Stegostoma tigrinum: one gene and its partners. The protein of the gene in region 3 purifies or fractionates together with the protein of the main gene of each other region. This does not show direct contact. Links are inferred from orthologs where the notes say so. Each region holds a gene or a part of one and is shown on either strand. Other genes may lie near its edges.

The links.
Region 1: the proteins of rpp30 (region 3) and pop4 purify together in Homo sapiens (affinity purification with mass spectrometry; 4 studies listed by BioGRID and IntAct, counting the BioPlex papers as one, with this or other methods). This does not show direct contact. The link is inferred for Stegostoma tigrinum from reciprocal best matches to the Homo sapiens genes RPP30 and POP4.
Region 2: the proteins of rpp30 (region 3) and rpp25l purify together in Homo sapiens (co-immunoprecipitation; 3 studies listed by BioGRID and IntAct, counting the BioPlex papers as one, with this or other methods). This does not show direct contact. The link is inferred for Stegostoma tigrinum from reciprocal best matches to the Homo sapiens genes RPP30 and RPP25L.

Annotation. Positions count from the first base shown.
Region 1 is NC_081369.1:32,454,624-32,462,635, forward strand, and holds the start of pop4 (ribonuclease P protein subunit p29), read left to right. Parts: upstream 1-4,962; 5' UTR 4,963-5,021; coding exon 5,022-5,028; intron 5,029-8,012. UniProt on the Homo sapiens protein: Component of ribonuclease P, a ribonucleoprotein complex that generates mature tRNA molecules by cleaving their 5'-ends.
Region 2 is NC_081354.1:146,847,211-146,854,675, reverse strand, and holds the start of rpp25l (ribonuclease P protein subunit p25-like protein), read left to right. Parts: upstream 1-4,415; 5' UTR 4,416-4,570; intron 4,571-7,175; 5' UTR 7,176-7,218; coding exon 7,219-7,465. Other genes in the region: dctn3 (dynactin subunit 3), read right to left, coding at 4,304-4,387. UniProt on the Homo sapiens protein: May be a component of ribonuclease P or MRP.
Region 3 is NC_081373.1:44,334,767-44,341,764, reverse strand, and holds the start of rpp30 (ribonuclease P protein subunit p30), read left to right. Parts: upstream 1-3,996; 5' UTR 3,997-4,054; exon of another isoform or gene 4,055-4,229; 5' UTR 4,230-4,401; coding exon 4,402-4,483; intron 4,484-6,998. Other genes in the region: kif20bb (kinesin-like protein KIF20B), read right to left, coding at 276-431. UniProt on the Homo sapiens protein: Component of ribonuclease P, a ribonucleoprotein complex that generates mature tRNA molecules by cleaving their 5'-ends. Also a component of the MRP ribonuclease complex, which cleaves pre-rRNA sequences.

The DNA of each region.
Region 1 (8,012 bases), on a different chromosome or scaffold from region 3:
CCTTTACCTTTCAGTGTTTATTATGTATCTGAAGTTTGTCCATGAAGCATCAAGAAAATGATAGAAGGCAAAGGATAGATCAGAGTATGAATTTAAATACAGTAGGTATCCAAAGAGACTTGGGAAATAAAGTGCATAGATATTTAAAATGCCAGATTGTTTTTTGCAATCAAGTCTAATGGAATCTGGCATTTATACCTACAGGACTGGAGTATAAGAATGCAGAAGTTAAGCTCCAGTTGTACAAAACCCTGCTTGGACCCCATAAAAACTGAAAGAACTGCAGATGCTATAAATCAGGAGCAAAAACAGAAGTTGCTGGAAAAGCTCAGCAGGTTTGGCAGCATGTTTATTTTTGGAAGGAGACAGAAGCAAGCTGTGCAGAGCTGGGCAACTATCTGCTTGGAAGTAGTGGGGGGAGCTCACCGGATGAAATGAGATCAGTTACCATAGTAGATACAATGGCCTGATGCGTCACAGTGGGGTCATGGTCCAGGGGAAGATAGGAGGAGGTCTCTGAGAGCTGGCGCTCAACCTCCTCCCAAAAATCCACAAACAGGACTGTCTGTGCAGACCCATTGTGTCAGCCTGCTCCTGGCCCACAGAATTCATCTCTACCTACCTTTACTCAATCTTCTCTCCCCGGTCCAATCCCTGCCCATGTACATCCGTGATTTCTCTGACACTTGATGCCAGTTTCAAAATATTCAGTTTGCAGTCTCCAGCCACCTCCCATTTATCATGACGTGCAATCACTTTACACATCCATTCTCCACCAGGAGGGTCTTAGGGCTCTCCACTTCTTCCTGGAGCAAAGGCCTGAACTGTCCCCACCCCCCACCACCACCATCCTCCACATGGCCCAGCTCATCCTCACCCTCAACTTCTCTTTTAACTCCTCCCATCTTCTTCGGGTAAAATGGATTACCAAGGGTACCCGCATGTGCCCCAATTATGCCTGTCTCTTTGTGGGGTACGTAGAACATTGTTCCAATGCTATTCTGAGCCCCACCCACAACTCTTTCTCCAATATATCAATGATATCATCAGTGGTGCTTCTCTCTCTCACATCCAGAATTGGCAAAGTTCACCAATTTCACTTCCAATTTCCACCCTGCCCTCCCTTTCACCTGGTCTAACTCTGACTCCTCCCTACCCTTCCTCAATATCTGTTTCCATTTCTGGGGGTAGACTGGCCACTAATATCCACTGTAAACCCACTGACTCCCACAGCTACCTGGACGATACATCCTCACACCCACTTCCTGTAAAGACTCCATTCCATTCTCTTAGTCCTTCCGTGTCCAAAGTATATGTTCAGATGAGGTCAACTTCAACAAGGGAGCCTTCATAATGTCCACCTTCTTCCTCAACTGAGGACTTCCCAGCACTATTGTTAACAGGACCCTCAACTGGGTCCAACCCATCTCCCGTACCTCCGCCCTCCCGTACCTCTGCCCTCCCGTACCTCCGCCCTTATCCCTTCTCTTCCCTCCCTCAACAGCAATAATGTTCCCCTTGTCCTTACCTACCATTTCACCAGCATCCACATCCAGAAGATCCTCAGACACCATTTCTGCTACCTCCAGCAAGATGCCACCACCGCACACATATTTTCTTCCCCTCTCTTGTCCGCCTTCTGTAGGGGCCATTCCCTTCGGGAAACCCTGGTCCACTCTTCCTTCGCCCCACAGCACCTTTCCCTGCAACCAGTGTAGGTGCAACATCTGCCCATTTACACTTGACTTGCACTTCCCAGACTAGTCTACTGCATTCTCTGCTCACATTGTGATCTCCTCTACATTGGGGAAATGAAGCATAGACTGTGTGACCACTTCACAGAACATCTACGTTCCGCTCACAGAAAAGACCCTGAGCTACCTGTTGCCTGCCACTTTAACACACCACCCTGTTCCCTGACCAACCTCTGCCTCCAAATAGTTGCAGTGTTCCAGCGAAGCTCAATGCAAGTTGGAAGAACAACATCTCATTTTCTACATGGGGACCTTGCAGCCCTTTGGACTCCATACTGAGTTCAATAATTTTAGGGCCTAAACTTTCCCATGTCCTAGCCACCTACCCCACATACCAGGCCTTGTTATCACATAGTTTGCCATTCAATACTACCTATTGTTAGTCACTAACAGTCCCTATTAATAACTATTCACCCTCTTGGTCAGATCTTTTTCAACTCCTTTGTTTATCCAACTGCACTTGTCTCTTTTTGGGCTTTATCCTATCATTTACTCCCTACCCCACCCCTTCCCTATTTTCTGCATATAACCGATGTTCCCAGCTACCATCAGTTCTGAGGAAGCGTCACTGGACCCGAAACACTAACTCTGATCTTTTCTTCACAGATACTGCCAGACCTGCTGAGCTTTTCCAGCAATTTTGGTTTTTGTTCCTGGTGAGGCCCCATTTGGAGTCAAAAGGAGCACAATGTAGGTTTACATCTATGGAACCTAGACTTCAGGGGTTAAGTTTTGAGGAAAGATTATACATATTTGACCCATGTTATCAGGAATTTAGAAGATTCAAGGGTTATCTGACCAAAGCTTTCAAGATATTAACAAGAAAAGAAGGGCAGATAAAGATAAATTACTTCCTCTGGTTGGGGATTGTAGAACTCGGGGCATAGCCTTAAGATTAGGACCAGTGTGTTCAGAAGCGTATTTAGGAAGCATTCCTACACACAAAGGATGGTGGCTTCAAACTCTCTTCCACAAATGGTGGTTGATGCTAGATCAGTTGTTAGTTTTAAACCTGAGATAGAAAAAAAGTTGTTCAGCAAACATATTAAGGAATATGGGCCAAAGGCAGATATGTGGAGTTAGACCATAGATTTGCCATGGGCTCATTGAATGATGGACAAGAATCGAAAGGCTAAATGGCCAACTCCTGTTCCTATAGGCTCAGTAATTAACTAATGACAAGGAATTGGAAATCACCTGCTATGTTGATATTCAGAACAGAAACAAGAGGAACATAAAAAATAAAATAGAAACTCATGTAACTTTCACCATGGGACTAATACTTGACACCATTATAAAGAATTTTATGTATATTTATTCAGAGTGCAGATAAAATGAGCAGGCCTAAGGTTGTATGTAAGAGTATACATGTCTTGTATTCTTTGAACAGGTATTTAAACAAGTAGATAACAGTTGTCTCAGGCATATGACTATCAAAAAGCTTTTTTTCCAAGTAAGTTAAAGATGTTAGCATTTATGTGAAATTGGTTAGGCTGGTTGAAAATGGCCTTTCAATAGGAAGCAGAAAATAAAATGTGTGAAAACAATCAAAATCAGTATTAAGCATTTATTGTAGTTGTGCCATAAAAGAGATAAAGGAGTGATTGTGCAAGTTAACTGGTATATAAGAACTATGAATTTTCTATAAGTTGCTGATTAAGCTACAGAGTCAGAGGTACAGCATGGAAGCCGGCCCTTTGAACCAACTTGTCCATGCCGATCAGATACCCAAAATAAATCCAGTTCCACTTGGCCCATATTCTTAACCCTTCCTATTCATATACCCATCCAGATGCCTTTTAAATGTTCTAATTGTACCAGCCTCCCGCACTTCCTCAGGCAGCTCATTCCACACACACACCACCCTCTCTGTGAAAAAGTTCCCCTTGGGTCCCTTTTAAATGTTTCCCCTCTTACCTTAAATCTGTGCCTTCTAGTTTTGGGCTCCCCTACTCAAGGAAAAGACCTTATCTATTTACCTTTCCATGTCCCTCATGCTTTTATAAACCTCTATAAGATCAACCCTCAGCCTCCAATGCTTCAGGGAAAATATACTCAGTCTACTCAGCCTCTCCCTATAGCTCAAACCCTCCAATTCTGGCGACCTCCTCATAAATATTTTCTGAAACCCTTTCAAGTTTCACAACATCTTTCCTACAGCAGGAAGACTAGAATTGCACACAGTATTCCAAAAGTGGCCTAACTAATGTCCTGTACAGCTGCAACATGACCTCCCAATTCCTATATTCAATGCAATGACCAATAAAGGGAAGCGTACCAAATGCCTCCTTCCCTAGCCTAGCTACCTATAGCTCCACAATGAACCTGCGCTCCAAGGCCTCTTTGATCGGCAACACACCCCAGCACCATAACATTCAGTGTATAAGCCCTGCACTGATTTGCCTTTCCAAAATGCAGCACCTCACATTTACCTAAATTAACTTCCATCCGCCACTCCTCAGCCCATAGGTCCATCTGATCAAAATCCTGTCGTACTCTGAGGTAACCTTCACTGTCGACTCCACCTCCGATTTTGGTGTCCTCTGCAAACTTACTAACCATACCTGCTACGTTCACATCCAAATCATTTATATAAATGACAAAAAGCAGTGGACCCAGCAATAGTCCTTGTGGCACACCACTGGCCACAGGCCTCCGGTTTGAAAAGCAACCCTGCACCACCACTTTCTACCTTCCAGCCACTTCTGTGTCCAAATGACTAGTTCTCCCTCTATTCCATGTGATCTAACCTTGCTGATCAGCCTGCCATGAAACACCTTTTTTTGAAAGCCTTAGTGAAGTCCAGATAGATCACATCCACACTCTGCCCTCATCAATCCTCTATATTACTACTTTAGTCCTGTGCCCAGTTCTGATCACCAAATTCCAGAGGAATGTTCCAGCAAAGATTCTAAGCTATTTAAAATCCATTCACTTGCTTCGAGTTAAAATCAGCTCACAGTCTCTGATTGCAAGTCAAGAGCAATGACATTGATCCCTGATGTTCTACAATGACTTACATTATGGGTTTAGACCAAGATGACAATTTGCAAACTTCAATGAGACAACTTAAACTCTCAACAGAAGCTAAGATCAAAAAGTGACTTTGTGATTAAACTATTAATAGGTCAAAAGGATAGGTTCAAAGTAAGAAAAGGCAGGTTTAAAGCGTTTTAACTTTCCATCAATCATAAAGGGGGTGGGGTTGCTTAGCGCCTGAAGTGACGACATTTCAATGAGTCGGCGCTGACGTAATCACGCCGCGCTATGGACAGTAAGTAGCTCACACTCTGCCGCGTTTATTAAGAAGTTGGAGCTTTTGGGGTCAGGGCGCAGGAGGATGTTCTGGGCTTGTAGTACACCAGTACCACCCCTTCGAGCCGGTCAGCTGTAGGAGTTGCCGCCGCCGACCTTTTGGTTATCGGAAAGACGGAAGAGTTACTAAGCTCCACAAAGAGGCTCCTCTCCAGTGTCCCATCTATGCCAGTGTTACCATGGAAATGGTGAACAGGTTCGTCGCAGCTTCAGTAAACAGGTCCAAGATTTCTGAAGAGGGTCTAGGCCCGAAATGTCAGCCTTCCTGCTCCTCTGGTGCTGCTTGGCCTACTGTTTCATCTAGCTCTTGTTATCCAAGATTCATATAGCAAAGCCTTTCTCTTCGTTATTGATGGACTCCTCAGGCACAGCTTCATTTCTCAGAGACACTACTTAGCAGCTGGCTTTTTCTGGCTCCATGTTCCTCCAGATTCTGTTGGGGTTGTTTTGATAACCTCCTGCTGCCTATCTCAATTAAAGTTGCATGAGATAAATATTTCCTCCTGAATAATTAGTATTCAAAGACATGTTCAGTTCCAACTATTGTAATTCCTGTCAATGGCTTTGGAATTGTCCAGGGTATGATCTGACACTGAGTTGAAAAGTGGTGAATTTTACAATCCTGATTTTGTTCTCCTTTCTGATCTGTTGTTTTCTATAGAACATAGAACAGTACAGCACAGAACAGGCCCTTCAGCCCACAATGTTGTGCTGACCATTGATCCTCATGTATGCACCCTCAAATTTCTGTGACCATATGCTTGTCCAGCAGTCTCTCAAATGGCCCCAATGACCTTGCTTCCACAACTGCTGCTGGCCACGCATTCCATGCTCTCACAACTTTCTGTGTAAAGAACCCGCCTCTGACATCCCCTCTATACTTTCCACCAGCCAGCTTAAAACTATGACCCCCCTTGTGCTAGCCATTTCTGCCCTGGGAAATAGTCTCTGGCTATCAACTCTATCTATGCCTCTCATTATCTTGTATACCTCAATTAGGTCCCCTCTCCTCCTCCTTTTCTCCAATGAAAAGAGACCGAGCTCAGTCAACCTCTCTTCATAAGATAAGCCCTCCAGTCCAGGCAGCATCCTGGTAAACCTCCTCTGAACCCTCTCCAAAGCATCCACATCTTTCCTATAATCTCCTATTATCTCCATAATATCTGTTTGTCTCAATCTTTATAGTTTCCCCTGCTGAAACCCTGAAATTCATTTTACTTTGAAGGCAATTTTAAAGCTGACATTTTCCACGGCTTCATTTAGCAAAGCAATGATTTCTCTTTACAAGGTCTGTATTTTGTTTAGCGTTGGTTTGGCATGCTTGCCTTTATTGGTCAGTCCATTGAGTATAGGAGTTGGGATGTCATGTGATTGTACAGGACATTGGTGAAGCCATGTTTGGAACACTACGTTCAGTTTTGGTCTGCCTACTCTATGAAAAATATTGCTTAAACATGAAAGGAGTAGGGAAAGATTGATAAGGATGTTTCCAGAATTGGGAGAGGCTGAATAGGCTGGAGGCTCAGAAGTTAAGTGGTGACCTTATAGAGGTTTATAAAATCATGAAGGGCATGGGTAGGATGAATACCCAATGTCTTTCCCCCAGGATAGGGGAGTGCAAAACTAGAGGGCATAGATTTAAGGTGAGAGAGGAAACATTTAAAAAAGACTTGAGAGGCACTGTTCTCATTGCAGAGAATGGCACATGTCAGGAATGAGCGAAACAGGTACAATTACAACATAAGCCATCTGGATGGCTACATGAATAAGAAGGTTTAGACAGATATGAGCCAAATGTTGGCAAATGGAACTAGATCGGTTTAGGATATCTGGTCAGCAAGGATGAGTTGGACTTAATAGTCTGTTTCCATGCTGTAACTCTGACTCTGAGTCATGCTTATAAATAGAATGACGTTTAGAACAAAGACTCCACATAACAGCCAGGGCCACAATTCACCCGGTAATTTACTTTCAAGCATTTATGTATGTATCTTTTGAAGTATTCTCACTCCATAAATGAGCCTTCTCCATTTTGGAGCTTTGAATTTGTGACTGAATCATTCTTGCGCTAATAAATTCTTGCAATATTTTTCTGTGCTGTTATGCAAAGAAATCACTGATCTACACTTATCAGTTCTGTACAGGAAAGTTGTAAAGTGAAGGTTCTCATTTAACAACAATTATATACTTTCACAACAATTGGAAATACTACGATTCAATAATTCAGTAAACAATGGCTAATTAAGGTTACACAGCGGGGAGAAGTAATGACGCATTTACCTTTATTCTCATTGGATTGTGCAGGTAGACAAGTTCACTATTATTTTGTATATTTGGGACAAGCTGATACATTTGTTCTAAGTTATCTTTTAAAAGCAAACGTTAATGAAGTTTCAGCACTTTCGGCAAGTTGCTTCATAGTTCATTTAGAAAACAGTCAACTAGCACTGTATAGCCTGAACTTCATACATCAGTTGGTGAGAACTTTAATCTTGGAATGAAATTAAAGTGAATAATCAACTTAAAAACTGTCTTTTTAATCAAAATGAAGGGAAAATGTTTAGCAAATTAATCGAATAGACATGCTTCTCATTTCCGGTACCTAAGATATCAAGTAAACAGTTCTGTAAAGATGGCCAGAAAGCTCTTGTTGAGAAGAATAAAAGTTTGAAGTTTTCTTCTGGAGCAATGTGATGATGATTCCTAGAACCTCATTTGTAAAGGGATTATTGGGCTTGAGGTATTTTCTGTAGGCTGCATATTCATGTGATTTAATGTGGAAAAAGCCACTTTTTTTCATGGTACATCTTTAATTTTGCATAAACTGTTCATTTTGTTTGTTTCTCTCCCCTTTCTAAACAGATTTTGTGATTTTGATTGAGATTTGTAAATATCAATACTTAACCCCACGAATGTGTCAAATGTACTTTTTTTGTCTCTTTA
Region 2 (7,465 bases), on a different chromosome or scaffold from region 3:
AGTTTAAAGTAGGAAAATTATGCTTAAACTATACAAAGTACTAGTTAGATGAAATCTGGGATACTGTGAACAGTTTTGGGGCCCTAATCAAAAGGAAGATATCCTGACATTGGAGTTAGTCCACAGCATGTTGTTGCGCAGAGGTACCTGGGAACCCTTGTGCATGAATCACACAAGGTTAGCTTGTAGGTGCAACAGGTAATTAAGAAGACAAATGGAATTTTGTCCTTTGATGCTAGAGGGATTGAGTTTAAAAACAGGGAGATTATGTCACAGCTGGATGGGGTGCTGGTAGGGCCATAACTGGAGTACTGCATGCAGTTTTGGTCTCCTTACTTGAGAAAGGATGTAGTGGTATTGGAGGAGGTACAGAGGAGATTCACTAGGTTGATTCTGGATTTCAGAGCTTTGGTTTATGAGCACAGCTCAAGTGGACTGGGATTGTATTCATCGGAATTTAGAAGAATGAAGAGGGATCTTACAGAAATACATAATTTTATGAGATGAATAGCTAAGACAGAGCAGGGAGAATGTTTCCATTGGCAGGTGAAACTAGAACAAAAGGGCATAGCCTCAAAATTAGGGGGAGCAGACTTTGAATTGAATTGAGGAGGAACTTCTTTACTCAAAGGATTGTGAATCTGTGGAATTCCTAGCCCAGTGATGTAGTTGAGGCTTCCTCATTGAATCTTTTTCAAGCTAAGATGATAATTTTTTGAACAGTAAGGGCAATGGTCAGAGGGGATGAACTGCTCCTCCTTCTGGTCCTTATGTGAAATTCAAATTGTCACATAGTAAAGGCACCAATTAACCCGAGTAGGTGATTCACAGATGGCATTTTTTTTTTCTTAAGTGCTTTTACTTTTCTCATCTGGAGTGAACTACTTGAGGACGAATATTGTAGTCCATGATAGTAGTCCATTCCCAAGCGCTGAAAATATCAACATAAATACATCTTGTAAACTTGCAATACCTAATGTTGGCCACTAGAGCCTGCAAATAATCCAAAACAAGAGAAGCAAAGTCTTTTCAGAATTATCAAATGTAAGACAAGTCAGTAAACAAGCAGGCAACTGGAATTTGGCTTTCAAAAATCAGTCTGTATAAATGTTACTCAGTAATTTTTATGTATCCATTGACTGTTTAAAACAAATAAACCTTTCACTTCAGTCTGTTTTTAAAACTGACAATATTTTAAATTTATTGAAAATTTTTGAATGAACCAAAAGTTCTGTCCCCTCTAAGTGCAACTGGGCATTCTGAAGGTTGCGTTTCCACCAGGTGTTGAGTCATACTGGAGAGAGAACCAATGATGTATTTCCTCAAACTCAGCAGATCCCAAGGTCCAAATTAAGATGATGGTGACATAGTGGTCACAATAGACAATAGATAATAGGTGCTGGAGTAGGCCATTCGGCCCTTCGAGCCAGCATCACTATTCATTATGATCATGGCTGATCATCCACAATCAGTATCCTGTTCCTGCCTTATCCCCATAACCCTTGATTCCACTATCTTTAAGAGCTCTGTCTATCTCTTTCTTGAAAGCATCCAGAGAGTTGGCCTCCACTGCCTTCTGGGGCAGAGCATTCCATATATCCACCACTCTCTGGGTGAACAAGTTTTTCATCAATAGACAATAGTGGACTGATAATCCACAACTTCAGAAAGGACTTGAGAAAGGATGTAGTGGTATTGGAGGAGGTTCAGAGGAGATTCACTAGGTTGATTCTGGATTTCAGAGCTTTGGTTTATGAGCACAGCCCAAGTGGACTGGGATTGTATTCATCGGAATTTAGAAGAATGAAGAGTGTTCTCAACACAAATCTAGTGTTCTGAGTACGAGTTTGAATCCCACAATGGCAGATGGTAGATTTTGAGTTTAATTTTTAAAACCAAATTAAAAGTCTCAAGATGACCATAAAATAATTTGTCTTAAAAACACATCTCATTGTCTTTTAGGATGTAAACTGCTGTCCTTTCCTGGCCTATGTGACTCCAGGCTCACAGCAATGCAGTTGACTTGTAATTGCTATGCCTATCCAGGCAATTAGGGAAGGACAATATGTGTCGACATCCCTTGAGCATATGAATAAAAATAAAGCAATAACGTCTGATTAGGTTACTGAACCACACAGCTACTGGCATAAGGTACAGCAAATTCAAAAATCAATGTCACGACTCAAAGAGTGGTGTTAGGAAGGGTGTTGATTCTTGACAGCAATATAGAGGGAGCTGTAGATGGGCTTCACGTGAATTAGGATGGGATCTCTGACCTGATAAACTAAGAGGAGGGCAGGAGAAGTAACATTAAACTGCTCATTATCTGAATGCATTAAATAAGGAACAAACCAGAGAGATAAATGACAATTGAAATTGCAGGGATATATCTACAAAGTGATCAAGGATGGGAAATAAATTTTAATATACTGAAAGAACGAGAGAAGAATAGTATTGAGAAAGGATCATGGCCCAGAAGATCAGGAAGCCAAAACACTATGAGTTGAAGATCAGGAATAATCAGGGAAACATTGGTGGGAGAATTTACAGGATCCTGATGACAGCTATACTATGTCACAGTAGGCTGCAAGGATCAGTTTAGGACCACAGGTATTTACGATGTATTTTAATGACTTAGATAAAGCAACTAAGAGAAACAAATCTAAACTAGTAGATGACACAAAGATGGTTGGGAATGTCAGCTGTAAAGTGAGGAGGACACAATGAGGCTGCAAGAAATTATGGACAGTTTAAGTGAGTGGGCAACAATGGGGCAAGTGGAGTGACATGCTGGGAAATGCAAGGTTAGTATTCAGTTTGGCATTAAGAACAAAAAAAATTTAAAAGGTGTGAAACTTATAAATGTAGATGTTCAGAAAGACTTGCTAAATGCACAAATATTCATGTGGAGTAAACAAATAAGAAGACAAGAATAGCCTGTACTTTAATACGATCAGAGTGCAGAAATACGGTCTGTTCAAAGTTTTTGAGAAGATTTGTAGCTCAGGTTGCTGGCTTGCTTGCTGAGCTGGTATGTTTGTTCACAAACATTTAATCACCATTCTAGGTAACATCTAGTGTCACCTCTGGATTGGTTTCTTATTGTTTGGTATATGGGGTCCAGCTCTACATGTTCGTTAATGGAGTTCCGGTTTGCAGGCCCGGCTTCCAGGAATTCTCGTGCGTGTCTTTGCTTGGTACTATCATTCATTTCAATACACAGACAAAGAGGGACACCAATTCAACAGGGACAACGTAGCCATCATAGGACTAGCCAAACAAAGATACACATAAGAACTCCTGGAAGTGTGGCACTCAAACCAGAACTTTGTTAACAAACATGTGGAGCTGGACCCCATACACCACCCACTAATAAACAAATCTAGAAGTGATGCCACCTACTCCAGCTAACCGAGACACATAAGTATCAAGCAGGACAGAACACCAACGCTTCACTGGTGAAACATTCATGATGTTACCTAGTATGGTGAGAAAATGCTTGCAAACAAACTTGCCAGCGCAGTAAGCAACGAACAACAGGATCTGTTCACTGACAACAAAGATTCCCCAACATGCATGTGGCACTGTGATATTACTGCCAAGTACAAAAAAAGTTCTACTTTTGGAGTATGTGACTTGATATGTTCTCATTAAAACTCTCATTATTTTGTATTTTTAACTATTCTTTTATCTATGACAGATATTATTGCTAATGCACATGATCCTTGGCAGCAGAAAACATAGCTGCAGAAATAAAGAAGCCTTGCTTAAACAGTGGGACGACATCTTTAAGACTGTGTGTATAGCTTTAGACTGAACAGTTAAGGACAGAATTTCATTGGAAACAGCATACTTGGTTCAACAGATCCATTCCTGTGATAAAAAGCTAAGTACACTGGATCACTCTTCTTTGTAAAAACAGACAAATGAGAGATGATTCGATGTAACATACAAGATTCTGAAGAGACCTGAAAGGGTGGATCGGGAACGTAATTCAAACCCTACCACTCTGGTCTCCATTCCCATCACCAAGTCCCAGCCCCTCTCTCTCCGGTCCGATATCCCTTCTCCATCATCTCTTCCCCCAATTCCATCCACTCCCTCCACCCTTCACCCACCTGCCCAGTCGTATTTTTCCGCTCGCTGTCACCAACACCACTCCCTCCCCAAAGAACACCTATCCGACCTGTCTCTATCTGCCCTGCCCATTCCACTCCGCTCCAGCCGGGCAGCACCTGTCCCGGCCTCTCTCCCACTGGCAGTACCTGATTTGTTTTATTACTATCACATGTAGGTACAGTACCTGTCCGGCCTGCCGCCCTCTCTCTCCGTACAGCCGAGTCTCGAGTTTCTCCAAACGGTCCTGCAGCCTCTTCAGCTCCGCCATTGTCAGCGCCACTTCCGCCCAACGGCGGAAATTACGTCAGAGGGCCCGGGCCCAGGACCAGGTGCGAGGCCTGGGCTTGGGATCCCGGTGCGGATAGGACTCGGGTTGGGAAGTTGCGGGGTAACTACCAGGAGCTGCTGAATAGACGGTGCCGTGGTAACGAAACTGAAAAAAACTCGGCAGGTCAGCCTTTTCGGAAAGAGAAACAGAATTACTGTTTGTTGAGAAGCGGGATGGGTTAGAAATATCAGAGCTTTGGGAGCAGCGACAGAAAAAGAGAGTAGCAAATAACGTCAAATAGCGAAGTCTGAATGATTAAGGGGAAGAAATGATGTGGTAGTGGCGGTGCCGGTGTTGGATAAGGTCAGAAGTCACACGACACCAGACAATAGTACTCCTGAGATGCTGCTTGGCCTGCTGTGTTCATCCAGCCTCACATTTTATTATCTTGGATTCTCCAGCATCTGCAGTTCCCATTATCACCAGACTATAGTCCAATAGGTTTATTTGAGAACACAAGCTTTTGAAGCCTTGCTCCTCCTTCAGGTATTAAGGTAGAGAGGAGCAGCCTTCCAACTGTATCAATTTCAGATCATAACCTTTGATCCCATTTCAAGAGCAGAGGAACAGGGCTAGGCTATTCGGCCCAGAGATCCTGCCCTCCCATGCCAGATGGGCAGACTTTTAAAGCCCCTCATTCTCAAATTTTCCTCCTTTAGATTCCCCACCTAAGGGAAATGTTTCACTTTCATTTATCTTAACTATTGCTTTAAATATTTTGTAGGTTTCAATGAAATTTGTATTCATTCTTCAATACTGTAGAAAGTACAGGTCCACTTTGCTCAATCTCTGTTCATAGGCCAGTTCTGCCATCCTGAGAAAATTCTGGTGACTTTTCATTACAGTCTCTCTGTAGCAATAATATCTTTTCTGTGATAGAGGCCAAAACTGCACCCACTACTCCAGGTGTGATCTGGACAGTTGAAGTGAGACTTTGTGACTTATGCACACAGATTTACATCTGATCCATACAACTCTATTTTGCCTTGCACCTTCATTGATCCTCTAATCTCTCTTTCATCCATAGTCTCACATGTGCACATTTTTTCTCGCAACCTTTGACTTCTCTAAACTTGCTTGAAAATTGTGACATCTCTAACTTTTGACAGTTTTGATAAGAGGCCATTTATCTGAAAGCATTGTCTCTGGAGAAACAGGGTTACTGTCTGACCTGCTGAATATACCTAATGTTTTAAATTCTTATTTTAAATTGCAGGTAGCCATTGTATGTGCCTTTTATTTAAGTGCCAATCTTGACTAAAGCTCAGAGTCTGAATGATGGTGAATAGCAGTCCTGCAGGACTGAATTCAACAAAATATCTAGGGTGATACTCTTGAAAAGTACTGAGGGAGTCACAGAACATAGAACATAGAAAAGTACAGCACAGTTCAGGCCCTTGAGCCCACGATGTTGTGCCGTGGAATAATCCTAATCCAAAAATAAAATAACCTAACCTAAATTCCCCTCAATTCACTGCTGTCCATGTGCATGTCCAGCAGTCGCTTAAATGTCACTAATGAGTCCGCTTCCACGACTACCACTGGTAAACTATTCCATGCGCTCACAACTCTAGTCAGTAATGTTATCTTTCAAATAAGGATGTTAAATTAAGGCTCTGACTGCTCTGATCACGGTAAAAGACCACATGCCACTGTAGCAGAGAAGGTTAGTTATTCCTAGCTAGAATGAAAATAATTGAATAATTTCTTTGTTAGCCGTGCTTGGAGAATGAAATTGCGAGCGCATGGGATTTAATCATTTACTCGTGTTTGGATATAATTATTCTCCATTCACTCTGTTTTGTTGATTAAATTACTTGCATAAAGTGCAGTTTCTTGATGGTATTTGGTTTTTGCAGAAAATGTTTCCATCTTGACTCCTGTGGATTATTTGCTATTATATGCTATCAAGTTGCACTTCCAGCTGATTACTTGACAGTGCATTGGCTATTAGTTATCTGAATATGGATCATAAACATCATGTGAAATTAGATATTTTGAGAAAAGCTCTGTACTTTTCTGGAGTTTAGAGACATCTGAGAATGGTGTGACATCGTGCCTCTAAAGCAGTAGATTAGGGAACAATTCATGCTTAGCTTCTATCAAATAGAATCTAAAATTCAGAGATTCTGGGGCATATACGAAAATGACTGGCTCCAAAGATGTTAGAAAATAGAAATGTTTCAAATGAAATTCACATGTTTAAAATGAAGATTGGGTGAGAAGGATGTGATGTGAGCAATTAAAAATATGCACAAAGCACTTGCTGCTAATGTAGTACCACAAATGGAATTTCACTCTGAAATGTTTTTTAATGTAAAGAATACATGCACCACTCAATTGCGATTGAACAATAGCTTGTGAAGAATCAATTCAATCTGCTGTCGTGTTCTGCTGGTTTACCTCAGTTGCTGCCATAGCAAGGTACTTTTGTTGTCTTCAATCTTCAAAGTAGCAGAAATCACACTTGGTATTCTCCTAAATTCAGCACTCATGGGCATATTTGGATGTCAAATGCTTCCATTGTCAAGTAACTTATTATCATGTGTAATGTCATCTAAAAGAACAATTCGGGTTGTTATACTTGGATGAGTCAGCATTTTCAGGAAGGTAAACGTATAGTGCATTTTTAAGTTTGCAATAAATTAGAATGGCAGACAAAGTAGACATTCTAGATTCTTAGTTTTCCAGCTGTAAGTAATTGATATTTATATATTTATATTTACAGGTTCTGATTTCCATCACTTCAGAATTATAAGACATTTCTCAAAATGGAAAATTACCAAAAAACAAAGATCACAGAACTCCCTTGTCCACAGCCAATTGCCAATCTTCCAAAAGATATTATTGAAATGAAGGTGAAGGAAGGTAGCAAAATCCGAAATCTCATGGGATACGCCATTGGAAAGATGGAATCAGCCAATATCAGAGAGATCCTTTTTACCGGCACTGGGAAAGCTGTCAGCAAAGCAATCACGTGTGTGGAGATCATGAAGAGAAGATTAAAAGGTCTCCATC
Region 3 (6,998 bases):
ATGTAATTTCCAAATCCTATTATATTTATTGCTAATCAACCTATTCAGACAAGTTGTGTGACAAACCTTCAGGGCAAGTAGAACTTGAATTTGGATCTTCTGGCCCAGAGGCAAGGACGTTGGCACTGTGCCATGAAACCAACCCTTTATAATTCCACCTACTGTGGTGGAATTTGAACCTATGTCCCAAAGCATGAGACTGGATCTCTGGATTACCAGCAAAATTACATTAGCGCCACACCATTGTCTAACCCCAAACTCCATTACATACATACCACATGTGATGCATTTTTATTTTCTTCTTGGCAAAGTTCAATAATCAAATCCTTTCTAATGTCTTCAAAATCCTCCACAGCAGGTATATCCTGCTCGTCATTCACTGCTCCTTGTGGTTGTATAAATGACAACTTAGATGTTATTATAGGCTCCATTCTGGCAAGAAAAGAAAAAAAAGTTGGGAAAATACAAAAAACAAACATTGTATTTTAACCCCAGGAACCTTTCAACTTCAGGTTCTGAAAAACGTGCAAAAAAAGGCTAGATGCAACTCAAAAGATTAGTTTTTTCAAATGTCACTCAGCATGACAAGAGCAGGCTACCTGGTCATTATCACATTAAGTTTAAGGTTAGCTGTTTTATTTCCAAAATGACTTTAATGGTTTTGCTGCAAAGAACTCTATTGGCCAAAAAATGCATTTCCTTTCTAAATTTAATTTTCCTAATCATCTGTTCAGAGATGTTATTACATGCCTTTGGAGGAAGTGCGACTCTGGTTTTTGGGTCTAGCAGTAGGAACACTGCCAATGCATCAGAAAAAAGGCCCTCCATTTATTTATTTGATATATTGTGATTTTGAAGGTTCCACCCTCGCAGCCTCCTTCATGCTAAAAGTGCAACTACCACAGATTAAACCCACCAGGGTGGGGGAGGACGAGGACGAGGACAGAGCGAGAGAGTGCGACTTACATAATAAATGCACTATGCTGCCAAAAAAAAAAACAACTGCAGATACTGGAAATCAAACAAAAACAGAAACTGCTGGAAAAACTCAAAAACGTTGATGGAGAGAAATTAGAACTAATGTTTCAGGTCCAGCGATATTTCCTCAGAACTAGAAAATACTGTTCAATTCTGAAGGAGGGTCACTGGACCCAAAACATTAAACACAGATTTCTCTCTACAGCTGAGAGTTAGTAGTAACACCGATGCTGGAGAATCTGTGATAACAAGGCGTAGAGTTAGATGAACACAACAGGCCGAGGAGCATCAGAGGAGCAGGAAGGGTCCAGACCCAAAACTTCAGCTTTCCTGCTCCTCTGACGCTGCCTGGCCAGCTGTGTTCATCCAGCTCTACACCTTGTTATCTTTCTCTCCACAGCTGTTGCTATTCCTGCTAAGTTTTTCCAGCAATTTCTGTTTTTAATCACTAGATTGCAAACAAGGTTTCAAAAGATTCCATTTACAGCTGGAGTAGCATGACTTCAAGTCCCACACACTCCAGAGGAGTGTAATAACATCTGAACAGGTTGATTAGAAAACATCTCATGTGTACTCAAGTACAGGATAAGAGTACAGTGAAAAGTGCATAATGTCATCACAAATGGCATCATCTTTAGGTGTAAGTACCTCGGTAAAAAAATCTTAGTTACTGGCAGAAAAATAAAGAAATAAAAGTTAATAAGTTCAGCATTACATAGTTTTAGCATAACAGTAGAAAAATAAAGAGGTAACTTTACAGTCATTTCTTGATGGTCCAAGCTGGGCTTCCCCAAGAGGGCTTGCTCTTCACCCCCATCACCATGCCGAACAAACTTTCACCCATGCTAAGACCCGTCTGAGCATTCCTGGCTGTGCCACCACTCAAGGCTTTGGCCCCAATCATCACAGACTGCCAGTCGTCAAAGGCCAACCACCACCGTTATCCTTTGCCACTGGCCAGTCATTGCTCTCAGCCAGACTTGCACTGGGCTCCACCCACTGCCATGCTCCATCACTGCTGCTGCCACCTCAACTTTTACAAAATGTTCGAGGTCCACACTGGCCTCACTTGAGGTCCACAAGTTCTGCTGTCGATGCCACCCAAGCTCAAGGTGGTAAGTAAGGAAAAAAGAAGTTAAAAAAAAAACAAACAATTGGAGCAAATAAGCTCCAGCTAAGGAGCCAACTCTGCTGCTGTCTTTCAAGGGTGGACTATTAATTATCACTACCGTCTCGACGGACACATATCAATGCAAGGTCCTGTCCAAACAACTCAACATTCTGATTTGGAATGGGATTGCCATTCCTCCAGTGCCACTGTATCAAAATCATTCAACTCCAATCACTTCACCCAAATAACATTATGGATGCAGCTACAGAAAGGAGGACAAAGCCAGTACAGCTGACAGTGCATTAATAAATTATTTAAATCCAAACTAGCACAAGTGTTCCAAATTCTCCAAGCACTCAAGAATCCTAATCAATAGGGTTGGGAAACAGGCATTGGGAGCTTGCTGATGTAAAGCTTTTATCTTCCAAATGTCAAGTCTTCTCTCAGGACTTATTTTCTGCAGATTAATTTCCCACACATTACACACTGCTGCAGCAAATTAAATTCGAATGTCTTAAGCCTGCTGTTCTTAGCTTTTGGTTGGACACATCCTAGAGCAAGTAGTCTTCCATCCATTTGATTAGAGAGTTACTCTTTAGTCTGACAGAACACAGCAGCTAGGAAAACAAAAATCAAAAAGAGGAATTGGGCCAATAACACAACTTTACTCAACACCTGCACTAACCTCAAGAGAGGTCTGTGATGGATCCATTGCCAAAAATCACCAGTCGTATTGTCATGAGGCAAGCAATTTTTTTGGAAGACAACTATACTTCAGCAGAATCTTCTGGAATACCTGACAATTTACAAAGTTGAAGACCATTGTCAAGTTGAAAAAATATTGAGTGGTTGGCATCAGCCATTTTCTCATAGGCTGTGATTATCCTCTCAGCTATATCTCTTGATGGCCAAATTTCTCACAGATTCATGGAAGAAGCGTTTAATAAATGTAATCAGTCCGTTCAGTTTCTCCTAATGATCACTCCTTCAATGGACAGCTGGGAGATTACTCTAATTTTCACAGTTGGATTTGTCCGATTACTTGTCACAATCGTAGGGTCACTGACATTACTCAAGACTTCCTCTTCACTTCAGATCTCCAAAACATTTCACCGACAGGATGCTGGAAACGTAGAACTTGCCACCACAAAAAGTCCATGCAACGAGCAGTGATGCCCTTTAGAGGAAAGCTTGATAAAACACCAAAGGGAGAAAGGACCAGACCAATGTACGGAATGGAGAGAATAGTCTCCGGAACACTCGCACGAGTTGTGGGAAGTCACCCCCTTCAAATGTATATCAAAAGGTTTTCAACGATGTTGGTCGAGAATGTAACATTAGACAAGTGCACGGACATCTTCCGGATCTTGTCCGATTCACAAAATCCTTTAGGTCCACCCTAATCAACAACTTTGCCAGTTTACTAGAAGAGTTCAGAGTAGAACGCTATTATGTCTTAAATTCGTCAGTGTCCATGGACAGAGCAGAGTGCACTCTGTTCACCGGGACGGGAGAACACCAACAGCGGACTTACCTGGTCTATGAAGACCGGAACCCTCTGATGCAGACTGGCACTTGTTCAGGAGCGAGCACAGACCAGGTACGAAGTGACCGGCCTAATTTTCGTATATCGACCACTAGCACTCAGTTATGTTCTCTCTTCGACAGACAAAAGCATCAGGGCTGGGACTATGATCCCTTTCACATGCACATATGTAGATCACCAGAACTTAGTTGTGATCGCTGTCATACAGACAAACACTGACCGCCAGAACTCAGTTATAAATCACAGATTGAACCTAGTGGCTCCAATAGCCGCTTGCCTGCCGCGCGCTCCCAACTAACGTTCCTGCCGCGCGCTCTGGTTTTTAAATCCCACCAATAGCGAGCTGCCAGCTTCCCGGAGCATCACGGGTAGTGGGTAGTGCAGCTGCGCAGCGGTCGTGTGGTTCTTGGAAGATCGTGGTAAGGTGATAAGATGAGGAGAAAATGCTTTGTGTCCTTATTTGTAAGGATGCTAATCGGATGGGATGCGGATATGAGCCTGGGAATCATAGTATGACGATCCAGTTCAGCATGACTTTGCTTTGACGCAAGGTCGCCGTCCAGAACCTTGAACTCTGTTTCTGTCTCTTCACAGATGTTGCACAGCATAACCGAGCTTTGCCAGCATTTTCTGTTCTTTTTCGAGTTTGTCTTTGATTTAAAGTGGGATCGACAGTAGACGGTGCCTTTAGGCGAAGTGCTGCGGGCGAAAACATTGACCTTTCCAGCCCAGGAAGAGCAAACGTTTCCCCTCACGTTGTGAAAGCATGGCGCCTTTTGTAGATTTAAACATCGTCAACACTACGGACAGAAAGAGATTGCAAAGTCTAATAGAAACAGCGGCACACCGTGAGTGTTGTTTCTTCTTAAATCACGTTGCAATGTCTTAAAGCACGTTACAGTTTCACTCTTTGAATGTCTGAGAGTGGATTTAATTAATGTTTTTTAAATGTTCTCTTGTCATGTGAAATAATTATTTTATTCTTTTCGGGCGACTGACAAACCGCATTGAATGAACTGCGTAGGATTTAGTTTTAATGGTGATTCCCAACCTGGAAATTATTGTCATTATCAAATTTCGTACACAGCGCTGTTCTTCAGACACAGCAAAATCAGAGTCAATGCGAATCAGAACGAAAACTCTACTATTTCAAGACATGTCTAACACAAACGATTCAGTGATAATGGGAACTGCAGATGCTGGAGAATCCAAGATAATAAAATGTGAGGCTGGATGAACACAGCAGGCCCAGCAGCATCTCAGGAGCACAAAAGCTGACGTTTCGGGCCTAGACCCTTCATCAGGTCTAGGCCCGAAACGTCAGCTTTTGTGCTCCTGAGATGCTGCTGGGCCTGTTGTGGTCATCCAGCCTCACATTTTATTAACAGAAATGATTGAAGTGTTTCTAGGCCAGCCATCTCAGTCCTGGGAGATTGCTGTGGGATTTCCTCGGGGTAGAAATTGGAAAATCACCTGTTCAGACATATTCCGAAGCAGGTGGGGCTTCCACTTAGGCATCCTTGCCCCACAGTAGGAGCGCTTCCACTGTGCCACCAGATCCCTAACTGTTCCTAAGAGTATTAATAAACCGAATTTTCTAATCAACCTTTTCAAAGGAGTTATTGCACACCTCTAAAACCGGTGGAACTTGAACCCAGGCCTCCTGGTCCAAGGTAGAGATACTACCACTGCACCAGAAGACCCCTGACTGCTATGTGCAGAGACCTAAACCCAATTATTTTCAGATGCTTCACCAATATGAGTTCAGAATAGGGATGTTTCTTGATTGGAGATTCATTACCATCTTTGACTTCTCATATACTGAATCAGTTCTTTTTTTTTAATTAGTCCCAAAACATTTCTTTACTTGGTCCAGAGTAGAGCATTCAACCTTTATTGATGTCCCCACATTCTTTTGGTGTTTTTTACCATTGATGTGATCCAGTAAGTTGATTGAATCCTTTAGTCACAAACATTCCAGTAATATGCTCCCATATCAGACTGTAGTCTTTGCGATGACTATGGATTTTCTTAAGTTTATAATCATTGTGGCATGAAAGCTCATGCCTGATTGGTACTGGAGGCTTTGCACTTTGCATCTCTCTTTCTTCTTGCAACTGCTTATGCACCAATTTCTCATATTCCTTATTGGTCCCACTTCTTGCATTTTTTTGTCCTGCTCCCTGATGCCATCTGCAGCTAAGTGTGGATAACATTTGGGCCTGGCTGATGAGTGGCAAGCAACATAAGTGCCAGGTATCAACTTTTTCAAACAGAAGAATCCAATTGTGTCTCCATGACATTCAATGATGATACCATTGTTAGAACTCCCAGCATCAACATCCATTGACCAGAAATTCAGCTGGATCAGACATATAACTAATATGGATGGCTGAAAGAGAAAGTTGGAAAATAGGGATTCCTGCAGTGAGTAACCTACTTCCTGACTTCCCAAAGCCTAGTGGCAATCTGCAAGACACTGCTGAGGACTCTGCTGAAATGCTGTCTGCTGGCCTGGATAAACCCAGTTCCAACTACATTCAAGAAGCATGCCTACTATGCAGGAAAAAAAACAGCCTATTTACTTATCAGCCAATTTGAATAGTCAACCCCATCCACTAGGGTGCAGTGGTAGCGATGCATACCATATAAAGGACGACAGCGAAGGCAGTAGAATTATCAGAATGCAACCTGCAAGTTTTCATGCGAGTTATACACCATCCTGACTTGGAACTACATCACTGCTGCTTCACTGTTACAGGGCTAAAATCCCTAACAACACTGGGTGCACCCTCACCAGAAGGACTGCAATGATTGAAAATACCACCGACTCCACTGCAAATGCTGGGACTACTGCCATCCCACATGTCCTGTGAAAGAATGCAACAAAAAAGTCTTTTGATGTCCAGTTCTCCCTAGATCAATTTTAATCATTTGTTGGGCTAAAAAGTTCAACACAGCTGCTCAGAAGTGTCATGATCCACCTCTGGAAAAGGTGGGACTTGAATTCTGACCTTCTGATTAGAGGTAGAGACACTGACTGCGCCACAAGACCCCCTTTACACAAGGCTGTAAATTGTGGTTAATCCTACCATGTCCTATCCATGCCCTTCCTGTTGTGCTTTGTTGTCAATTTGATAAAAGCACTCAATTTCCAATAATTGGAGGGAGAAGTCATTTTGACTTTGCCTCCAGAAGAAGCCTCACCAACCTCTTGCACCACCTCAACGTAACGTATGCGGAAGTCGAAGCCATGAATACAAGTGTGATAAAGGCCTTCTTAATCACCCAGGCAATCTTCAAAAAAAATTATGTACCTAAACTCCTAAGTCTCTGTTCTACAACACTGCCCAAGGCCGCACT